Linked DNA regions of Mus musculus: regions 1 and 3 are each reported to be linked to region 2. The links are microRNA targets in miRTarBase. Many come from high-throughput screens and were not tested one by one. Region 2 holds a microRNA gene; each other region holds the end of a gene's coding sequence. Distances are from middle to middle.

Region 1 (3,000 bases), 4.1 Mb from region 2:
AGGAAGCTATATCGAGCCATGCACCAGATCTGAAAGAAAATGGAATTGATACAGAGAAACCGAGATCAGAAGAAAGCAAACGAATGGAGCCAATTGCTATTATCATTACTGACACTGAAATCAGTGAATTTGATGTTAAGAAGTCTAAAAATGTTCCTAAGCAATTCCTAATTTCAATGGAAAACGAGCAAGTGGGGGTTTTTGCTAATGATAGTGATTTCGAGGGGAGAACTTCAGAACAGTATGAAACACTCTTAATAGAAACAGCATCTTCTCTCGTCAAGAATGCTATCGAGTTGTCTGTAGAACAGCTGGTTAATGAAATGGTTTCCGAGGATAATCAAATAAATACGCTGTTCCAGTGACTTCGTTTCCAGGTCACGAAAAGAAAGGGGGGAAAAAAACCCTTGAAAGATGAATTCTTTTATCCCTTTGTGGCACTTCTTTCTCAGTAATAAATTAGAGGCTTATCATCTGTGGAATCTAAGGGTACAGTTCCAGCCCAGAAGTGCTAAAGGATCAATGAAGGTTGTAAAACTCTGTCATTGAAACACAGTTCTGGACTGGAGGGAGTCAGCACAGATCACAGTGCGAAGTGACTTATGGGGAGGTGTGGAAGTGGCAGGCAATAGCCCAGTGCTTTGAGGAGGGAAGACTACTGAGCACTGGGTATGCTATATGGTTCTTTAATGTCACTAAGTCTGGGTTTCTTTCTGATGGTTCGACCCTGGGTTATAGGTGAACGCTCCATTCGCTTTCCTTTTACAGGGTCTTCCTGCTGTCTCTAGTGGTGAATCAGGTGAGTGGGCTTTTCTAGTCTTGAGCAAGTTCTGTACTAAAGGTGTTCATGGGTTCCTTCGGTCAGGCCAATAGTTAACACATGTGTAGGCATGGACACAGGAAGTGTGTTCTCTCCCCAACATCCCTCTGCCCAGAAGACCTGTATATACCCATCTGTGAGTGAACCTTTCTCCTGAGAAATCAAATGGGGAAGAGTATATTTTTTATCCAGGAGGCAAACTTCCCAGGTAGCAAAGGATTCTAATAGCAGAGCTACTTCTTTGGGTTGTTTTTTTGTTTGTTTGTTTTTTCCAGATAGTATTTCTCTGTGTAACCCTGGCTGTCCTGGAACTCGCTCTATAGACCAGGCTGGCCTCGAACTCACAGAATTCCGACTGCCTCTGCTTCCCAAGTGCTGGTCGAGATTAAAGGTATGGGTCATCATCGCCTGGCTAAAGGGCCAGGAAACCGTAATATTCTTGTGAAAATAGTTCTTGGCCAAACATAAACTATGTAATGAACTGAATAAAAGGTCAAAATTCACACTAAAGCCTAGATTTTCAACACCAGTATTTTTCATTTTGTCTAGCCATAACACTGTAACATACTACCCAACCCCACACGTTAGGGTCCATATTGTACAGCACCCCCATCCCACTATCTAAACTAAGTGATACTGTTTCTACTTGTTACAAAAGATGTGGTACACATGGTACAATGTCTGTTGAGCATCTTCTTGAGGCATGAGCACCACTAGTTGGTTTGGTTGTTATTTTTGTTTTTTGTGTTGTTGTTGTTTTCAAGACAAGGTTTCTCTGTGTAACCTTGGCTGTCCTGAAACTCACTCTGTAGACCAGGCTGGCCTCCAACTTAGAGATCCGCCTGCCTCTGCTTCCTGAGTGCTGGGACTAAAGTCGTGCGCCACCACTGTCCAGCGAGCACTGCTTATTTTCATCCACTTTGCACTTACACTGTGTTTATGGGCTGCATATGTATACACTGCTTTTTCCTATCTTTTATTTTGTAAATACATATTGTGATCTTGTGCAAAAGTAACTAATGTGGCTTTGAAAATTAACCAAATGGTGGATGTTTAGCAAGATTCTTGGCTGGAATGTGAAAATATTTTCTTCAGGCTTGCCTATCTTCATGTTTGTAATGGGTGATGGGGTATCATTCAATTTAGATAAAAACACAACACCCCTTCAATAAATTTATTTTAATGGTTTTCCTCTTAGACATAAAACTAAAAATCACTCCTAAATCATCTTTGAAAGAATATTTTAACCCACTGTATATGGTGCTAATAGACTTGTATAGATAGCTACCAGCAAATATGTTTAAAATGAACTTTTAAAAGCCTGGTTAAAGTTGGTACACTTTGCAGTACTTTAAACAATTCTGTATCTATTTACTATAAGAATGGCTCCAAGGAGAGCCACATTACACTCACATTAAGGTTTCTAATCTCTTATGAATGAGTAAAATCTATAAGATACAAGCTCTTAGTTATTGAAGATATTCTGGGTTTGGAGATTTTGAAAAGCAGGCACAAAGTAAATTTGTAATTTTGGGGGTAAGATAGTAGCCCTGGGTTTCAGGGTGTGTGTGTGTGTGTGTGTGTGTGTGTGTGTGTGTGTGTGTATGTTCCCTACACTACTATTTGATAATTATACCTTTGGTTAGAAGGTATTGTTATAATTGATTGTTTTTATAAGAAAATATATTCTCCTTCATTCTTAAGTATTTTCTCTGGCTTTTTAAAGCATAATTCCAACCTGTAAGCAGAATGCAGAAATTCATTAGTGGGTCACAACCCTAAGTATCTGCTATGTGGCCAAATGATAGTGAATCTTAGGGTGGTCCAAACTATTCTGTTGTTATAAAAATAAGAGATGGCTTGGAAGTCTGCCATCATTTTTTTTTTTTTTTTTTTTGGTAATGGGATGTATTTCAAGCAGTTTGACTTTCTATGCAAACTATATAGAAAGATTCTGACTCAATTTACACCCTTGTGGCCTTAAACGGACCCATTTAGATGCATCAACTTAGGGTAGTCACATTAATTTTCATTGAAATTTGCCTTTAATGAACATTAGCTAAGATCAAATTTCTTCTTGAAGTCGGAAATTTCTAAGGCTGGGGGCGTCTATCAGATCCTTGATAATTTTTCAGTGTCTTCTCTTCACCCCCTGAAGTCAAGCGTTATTCACACAGCAC
Region 2 (3,000 bases):
GCACCTGGGAAAGGACAGCAACTGGTTTCCCTGAGGACAAAACAGAGTCACTTAGTAAAATCCCCTCAGAGTAAGAGGAAATTTGACTCACTAGATACATATTTTGTGGCAACGCCATGGTAGGTGCTAAGAACACAAGGGGCAAGCTTTTAAAGATCTGCCAGGGAGGTCTAGTGAGGGAGTTTCCTCGGGTAGCTAGGAATTGAGCAGATGAACAACAAGGAGAGCGGTGTACACTAGGACAACTGTAGTTCTAGTACTTGGGAGGCTGGGGCACCATGAGTTCCAGGCCAGTCTGTGTTACAAAACAAGGCCCTGTAACAAAAATCAGAAAAAGGGGGATGGAGAGATGGGTCAGAACTTAAGAGCCACAGGCTGCTTTTATGGAGGACCTAAATTTGATTTCCAACATCCACATGATGGCTCATAACACCAGTAAATCTAGTTCCAGGAGATCCAATGACCTCTTCTGGTCTCTACAGGCACTAGGCACACACATGATGCAGATGCAAACGAATACGCATACGTATACAACAAAAGTTTTAATAAATCAAAAGAAAAGAGGACAAATCCTTGTGTTGTATCTAGAAGAAGAGAGACTGCACAGAAGGACAGGCTGCTTAAGCAGTTCTTCTTTTATTTTTCAATCTAGTGAAATAGGTTATTGATTAAAAATTATTTAAATTTTTATAGCATCATACACAATATATGTTCTGGGTATATAAATATGAACAAAGATAACCCCAACGAGCTATAAGACAACAGCAAAAATTGTTTAAGAATCTGCTGCTCTAAATACAAAATTCCAAGTAAAGAGGCAGTGTGGACAGCAACTATGGGAAGGAGGTGACAGCTATGACGGAGAGGCTGCTGGAACTTGAGGTGCCAGGCACGATTAGAGCAAGGAAACCTATGCGGGGCTCCAGGATTTCACCCAGAAAAACTGTAGGAGTGAGGACGGCATTAAGAAAAGCAATGGAGAATAGAACAGAGCGCTGGGGAGAAAGCAGGCGTTTAACAAATGTGCCAGTAGGTAGGAAAGAGGAGAAGGGGAAGAGACCGGCTAGCTAAGTGTGGGGGCCACTCTTGTAGTGAGCACTTGGGAAGATGGCACAGGAGGACGGCCAGATATTGAGGCTACCTTGGGCTCCACAGTGATATTTGTCTCAAAATACAAAGAAGAGAAGGGAAGACAGAAGGACTAGGGAAGAGAGGGAAGGAAAAGGAAGAGGAGCTGACTAGCTAGCCCCTAAGTAGAGCTATTCGATGAGGAGGTCTGCTCTTTGCTGTTTTTTTTCTACTGTTCCATCTAAGCTCCTGGGTCCTCCTAATCCTGATCTCTCTTTGTCCCTTCATCAGCTCTCTACACAGTTAATGAGGCTGTTGTGAGCACTGGACTCACAGGGAATAAGGTAAATACTCAATGAAGTAATAGTCTTCCACTTATTTTCCTAACAGAGTAGTAACTTCAGTTTATTTCCTTTTTGTAAGATAGTACATTTAATCAGCAGAGATCCTAAACAAACTAATAAGGAAATCAGTAAGTAGAGTGAGAGTCTAAGGTTGTATGGAGGTGAACGATCAGACTCAGCCAGCTATTCTAAGTCAGACAGAGACCTCCATATTCATGTAGGACCGCTGCCTTCTGCAAACAAAGGCATTTTCTCCTTTGTCTACATGGTTGGTTTTGCAGCTTCCAGTTTGAATTCCTTTTGGTCAAACTTATTGACCAAACTTATTGTCCCTTAGATAGGCTAGAGATATACCTCTTTCGCATGTCTATGTAGTGTGATACCCTGGAGTTGATCCTCAGCACCACACATTCAAACACAGCAGTTAACATGATACACTACTATGTATTAACTCTACATGTACCTAGTTGAATATGTTATTTCAAAAGTATACACCAATGAACCACACCAGATCAAGACATGATTTCAAGCTTGGTCAATATCTTACCCTGGGATACCACTATTCTAACACCTATAATCTGCCTGTCCTTAAACACCACACAAACGGAATCATAGAAGACAGGTTCCTCTGTGGCTGTCTTCTTTCACTCAAAATTCTAGCCATGAGGCTCATGCACATCTACATGTGTGAGAGCATCAAGGTGTTCTTTTAATGTTTGCCCAGTGTTTTACTACATGGCCACTGTCCGCTCTGCTATCCACTGTCCTTTAGTGGACATTAGGCTTGTGTCAGCTTTTGGCTACACTAAGTAAAGCAGTCGCCATACTCCTGTATTTACTTATCCCCAGTGGAAACACAATTGCATCTCTTAGGGAGATCTGAGAGTGAGGCTCAAAATGTTATAAAGGCCATACCTTTAGCCTCAGCAGACACTGACCGCTTCCCCTGACGGCAGTACCTATTTAGAGTTGCCGAAAGTATAAAGCAGGATGGCTTCCTTAGTCTCACATCCCGGTCAACACTATCAGTCTTTTCCACTGGAACAATTCCAATCATTTTCAGTTACCTCATGAGTAATGAAGTTGAAAAGCTTCCTTACTTTTCTTCCTTCCTTTTTTAACTCTCATTAACTTCAGGCTGGCCATTCAGGTAAAGATGACCTTTAATTCCTGGGGTTGCCTTTCCAGAGGTCCTGGGTTACATTCCCAGTACCCACAGCTTACAACTATCTGTAACTCCATTTTCTAGGGAGTCCTACACATTCTGCTGACCTCTTGGGACACCAGACACACATAGAAGGATTAAAAAATTAAAATTACTTTAAAATGGAATTCTATCTTTCATAGATCATACTTTTTTATATACTCTGGCTATAAATTCTTATTCAATATATACATTACAAATTACAAGTACTTGTCCTTGGCTTATCTTTTCACAGATGTCATACCGTCTTTGATGAACAGAGGTCTTTAATTTTAAGAAATCAAATTTAGTAATTTTTTTCTAGTTCTATCCATTTGCCTAAGAATTTCATGAATTCATTGTTTTTAATAGCTGAGTTGTACTCCATTGTGTAAATGTAGCACA
Region 3 (3,000 bases), not on the chromosome of region 2:
TCCCCTACAGGGCATTGGAAACACCTTCCAGGGAGGGGCCAACTGCATCATGTTCGTCCTCTGTACCCGGGCAGTCCGCACAAGGCTCTTTTCTCTTTGCTGCTGCTGTCCTCGGCCCTCCACCCAGAGCCCTCCGGGGGCTCCTACGCCCCCCAAGATAGGAGAATCTCAGGAATCCAGACGGACCCCAGAAGTGCCCAGCACTTGAGCGGTTGGCTTTCCTCCCTGTCCGTACTGGCGCTGCCTTCCTGGTTCCTGCTTCAGGATTAGGAGACCAAGCATGCTGTCAGCCTGGCCTAAAGTGAAGATCGGAGCCCAGTGGAGGGACAGCCATCAGTATGGACTCTTCTACCTCCCAGACTTGCAGGCAGGCAGTGTGTTCCTTGCACACTCATGTCCTGGTTCAGTGGGGTTTGTTTGTGTAAGCACAAAGACCGTGAGACTCAGCTATGCGGGATACCGCCAGGGCATTGGTTCTCAGTGTCCCCGGCCACCAACGTTGTTTACAGTTGGAGGGATCCGTACCTGTGGACCCATCCCAGGCTTGACTGAATAATAATGAACACCATCTTGGATCCCAGACATCGCAGTATGGAGTCCGGGCTTGCCAGGGCGTTGAGAATCCCTAGAGACCCTGGGGGTAATTAGCAGTGCTGGTCAGCTGAGGGTAATATCCTTAAACTAGGTCCCAAGTCCACGGAAGTCACAGGAGACTGCCATCATTGATGAAAACCACCCGGGCACACACTCATGGGCATCTCACGGAATCTCTGCGTGGGTCATCGCCCCTCAGTGTTTATTACATCTGAATTTCAGCACAGGCCAGAGTCCAGAGTCCTGTCCATTAGTCAATCACTTAACATCCTCGTTCCCTCCAGGTACCAGGACAGAAGGCAGCTCAGCTCCAGCCCCTATGGACAATTACCAGTTCACCTACTGTTCTCACAGAGCCCTCTCCTCACGGTGACTCATACAGGGGGAGGGGGTCTGGCTCTGCACTTTGCTTAGGAAAGGTGACCAGTGAATGGATCTGATTCCACCCTGAAGGTGAATGTTTGAAGAGTCAGCCTCGGGCTGGCCTGTAGCTCCGTGTAGTTTCCAGGTTGGTCCTAGCACCCCAAATACTTAAAAGGCCTTTGTGTTTTGTAGTTATCTGGGGGATATAGAAATAGGATTCTGAGATGATTACATTTTATTTTGTTTTTTTGAGACAGGGTCTCATGTGGACATGCTGGCCTGGAACTTGTTATGTAGATCAGGCTGGCCTCCAACTCACAGAGATCCACCTGCCTCTGCCTCCTGATAGTTACATTTTTAAAAAAATGTTGTGTTGTGTTGTGCCTGTTAGGCAGGTGCTCCGCCACTGAGTTCAATCCCATGCCCCTCCCCACTCCCTTTTTTTTGAGACATAATCTTACTAAGTTGCCTAGACTGGCCTTCAACTCTCAGTCGACCAGGCTGGTCTTGAACTTAAGATTTTCCTACCTCAACTTCCCAGGAAGCTAGAATTGTCGCCTTTGGCTAGCAAGCCTGGCCAGAGCGGGGCTTAACTGAGATCTGCTCAGTGGCTCTTCCACCCACACATCCCTCATTTCAGAAAGCAGTGTGTGCCGACGTGCAGGCTCTCGGTGTGGGAAGTGTGCCCGCCACCTTGCAGTCAAGGTGAGGTAGCGCCCTTGGATTCTGTCAATACCCTCACAAAACCGAGAGGATGCTCAGAGCCTGGCTCAAGATGGAAGCAGAGTCACACGGGGCATCAGCGCCCATCTCTATCAGGAAAGGAATAGTCGCGCAGAGGGCTGTGTCTGTATGCTCCTCTTCTGGCTTCCTAAAGCATTTCTTTAGGAAACTCTACAAGAGGTGGGTTCCCTTTTGGGAGTCTAAGAAAGCTCCTTGGCTTGGTACTCTGTCTGCTTACAAAACCAGTCTGTGTAGGGTGTCCTGAGATCCTGTGAAGATATTACAGCCAATGTGTGCACTGTCAGCGTGTAGCGCAGCGGTAATGGATCTCCTGGCTTCTAAAATGGAACAGAAATTCTAGGAATTTGTCTCCTGGAGGGGAGAAAATAAACCACCAAATACTACGGAGGAAATGATGTTGGATAAACCCAGCTGGACAGAGCAGTGTGAAACCCTGGCTGTTTGGGGCTTTGTTCAAGGAAAGGCAGGCAGGGGGCATCCGAAAGCCCTGCTCCTGGAGCCTGGGGCTTACCCAAGTTTTCTCTGATGCCACTGGCCAGGATTGCTGTCCGTAAAACCCCCTACAAAGTCTACACTTGGCTCTTTCCATCTGTTTCCCATGCTGCCCTGTCACCGAAGGTGGCTGGTGGTGACCCGAGGCCCGGTGCCTGACCTCTAGCCCTACGTGCTCACAGACATCAACCTTAGCTCAGCCGGTGGCCAAGTGGGTCTTCTAGGCAGCCAGGGTTCAGAGCTGAAGAGGAATAGAAGAATCCTTGGGGCCAGGAGGGGCCTTAGCACCGGTGAGGACCAGCTCCCCTTTGCTTTGCTCAGCCTCGTGGGTTCCTATCTCTACTAGGAAGTGTCATTAATATCTGTCTGTCCGTGTTCCTCTGTCACCCAAATGTGACCTCAGCCTTAATGGGTGCTACAGCCCCCACACCCTTCTTAAGCACTTTATGAATTTTTTTTTTCCGAGACAGGGTTTCTCTGTATAGCCCTGGCTGTCCTGGAACTCACTCTGTAGACCAGGCTGGCCTCGAACTCAGAAATCCGCCTGCCTCTGCCTCCTGAGTGCTGGGATTAAAGACGTGTGTCACCACCGCCTGGTACACTTTGTGAATCTTGTTCTGCAAATCCGTTGCCAGCTGCTTCCTGCCTTTGACTTTCTGAGGCAGAGAGAGAGAGAGGGAGAGAGGGAGAGAGGGAGAGAGAGAGGGAGAGAATGTGTGTGTGCGTGAGATATTATGCTCTAGCATTTATCTCTCTTCATTTTTTTTTTTTGTTTTGTTTTTTAAGTTTCGAAACAGGGTTCTCAGG

The links. The annotated mature microRNA mmu-miR-1843b-5p reads AUGGAGGUCUCUGUCUGACUU and lies in region 2 at 1,603-1,623, opposite strand. An mRNA with a match to its seed (bases 2 to 7 or 8) in the 3' UTR can be bound and repressed. Matches are read on the target gene's strand: a 7mer-m8 pairs with bases 2 to 8, a 7mer-A1 pairs with bases 2 to 7 and ends in A, and an 8mer does both.
Region 1: the mRNA of Akap5 is a reported target of mmu-miR-1843b-5p. Seed matches in the 3' UTR shown: 7mer-A1 at 1,643-1,649.
Region 3: the mRNA of Gpr157 is a reported target of mmu-miR-1843b-5p. Seed matches in the 3' UTR shown: 7mer-A1 at 1,265-1,271.

Annotation. Positions count from the first base shown.
Region 1 is chr12:76,329,690-76,332,689 of GRCm38, forward strand. Akap5 (A kinase (PRKA) anchor protein 5) reads left to right here. Exons shown (of 2, transcript NM_001101471.1): 2 at 1-3,000. The coding sequence ends at 365. Among named protein-coding and RNA genes, the nearest start is that of Akap5, 6.3 kb to the left of the region's middle.
Region 2 is chr12:80,390,051-80,393,050 of GRCm38, forward strand. Mir1843a (microRNA 1843a) reads right to left here and starts at 1,627; the gene lies at 1,563-1,627. The region is part of intron 5 of Dcaf5 (DDB1 and CUL4 associated factor 5); the gene reads right to left. It also overlaps Scarna3b.
Region 3 is chr4:150,102,202-150,105,201 of GRCm38, forward strand. It overlaps Gpr157 (G protein-coupled receptor 157), which reads left to right. Exons shown (of 4, transcript NM_177366.3): 4 at 11-3,000. The coding sequence ends at 208. Among named protein-coding and RNA genes, the nearest start is that of Slc2a5, 16 kb to the right of the region's middle.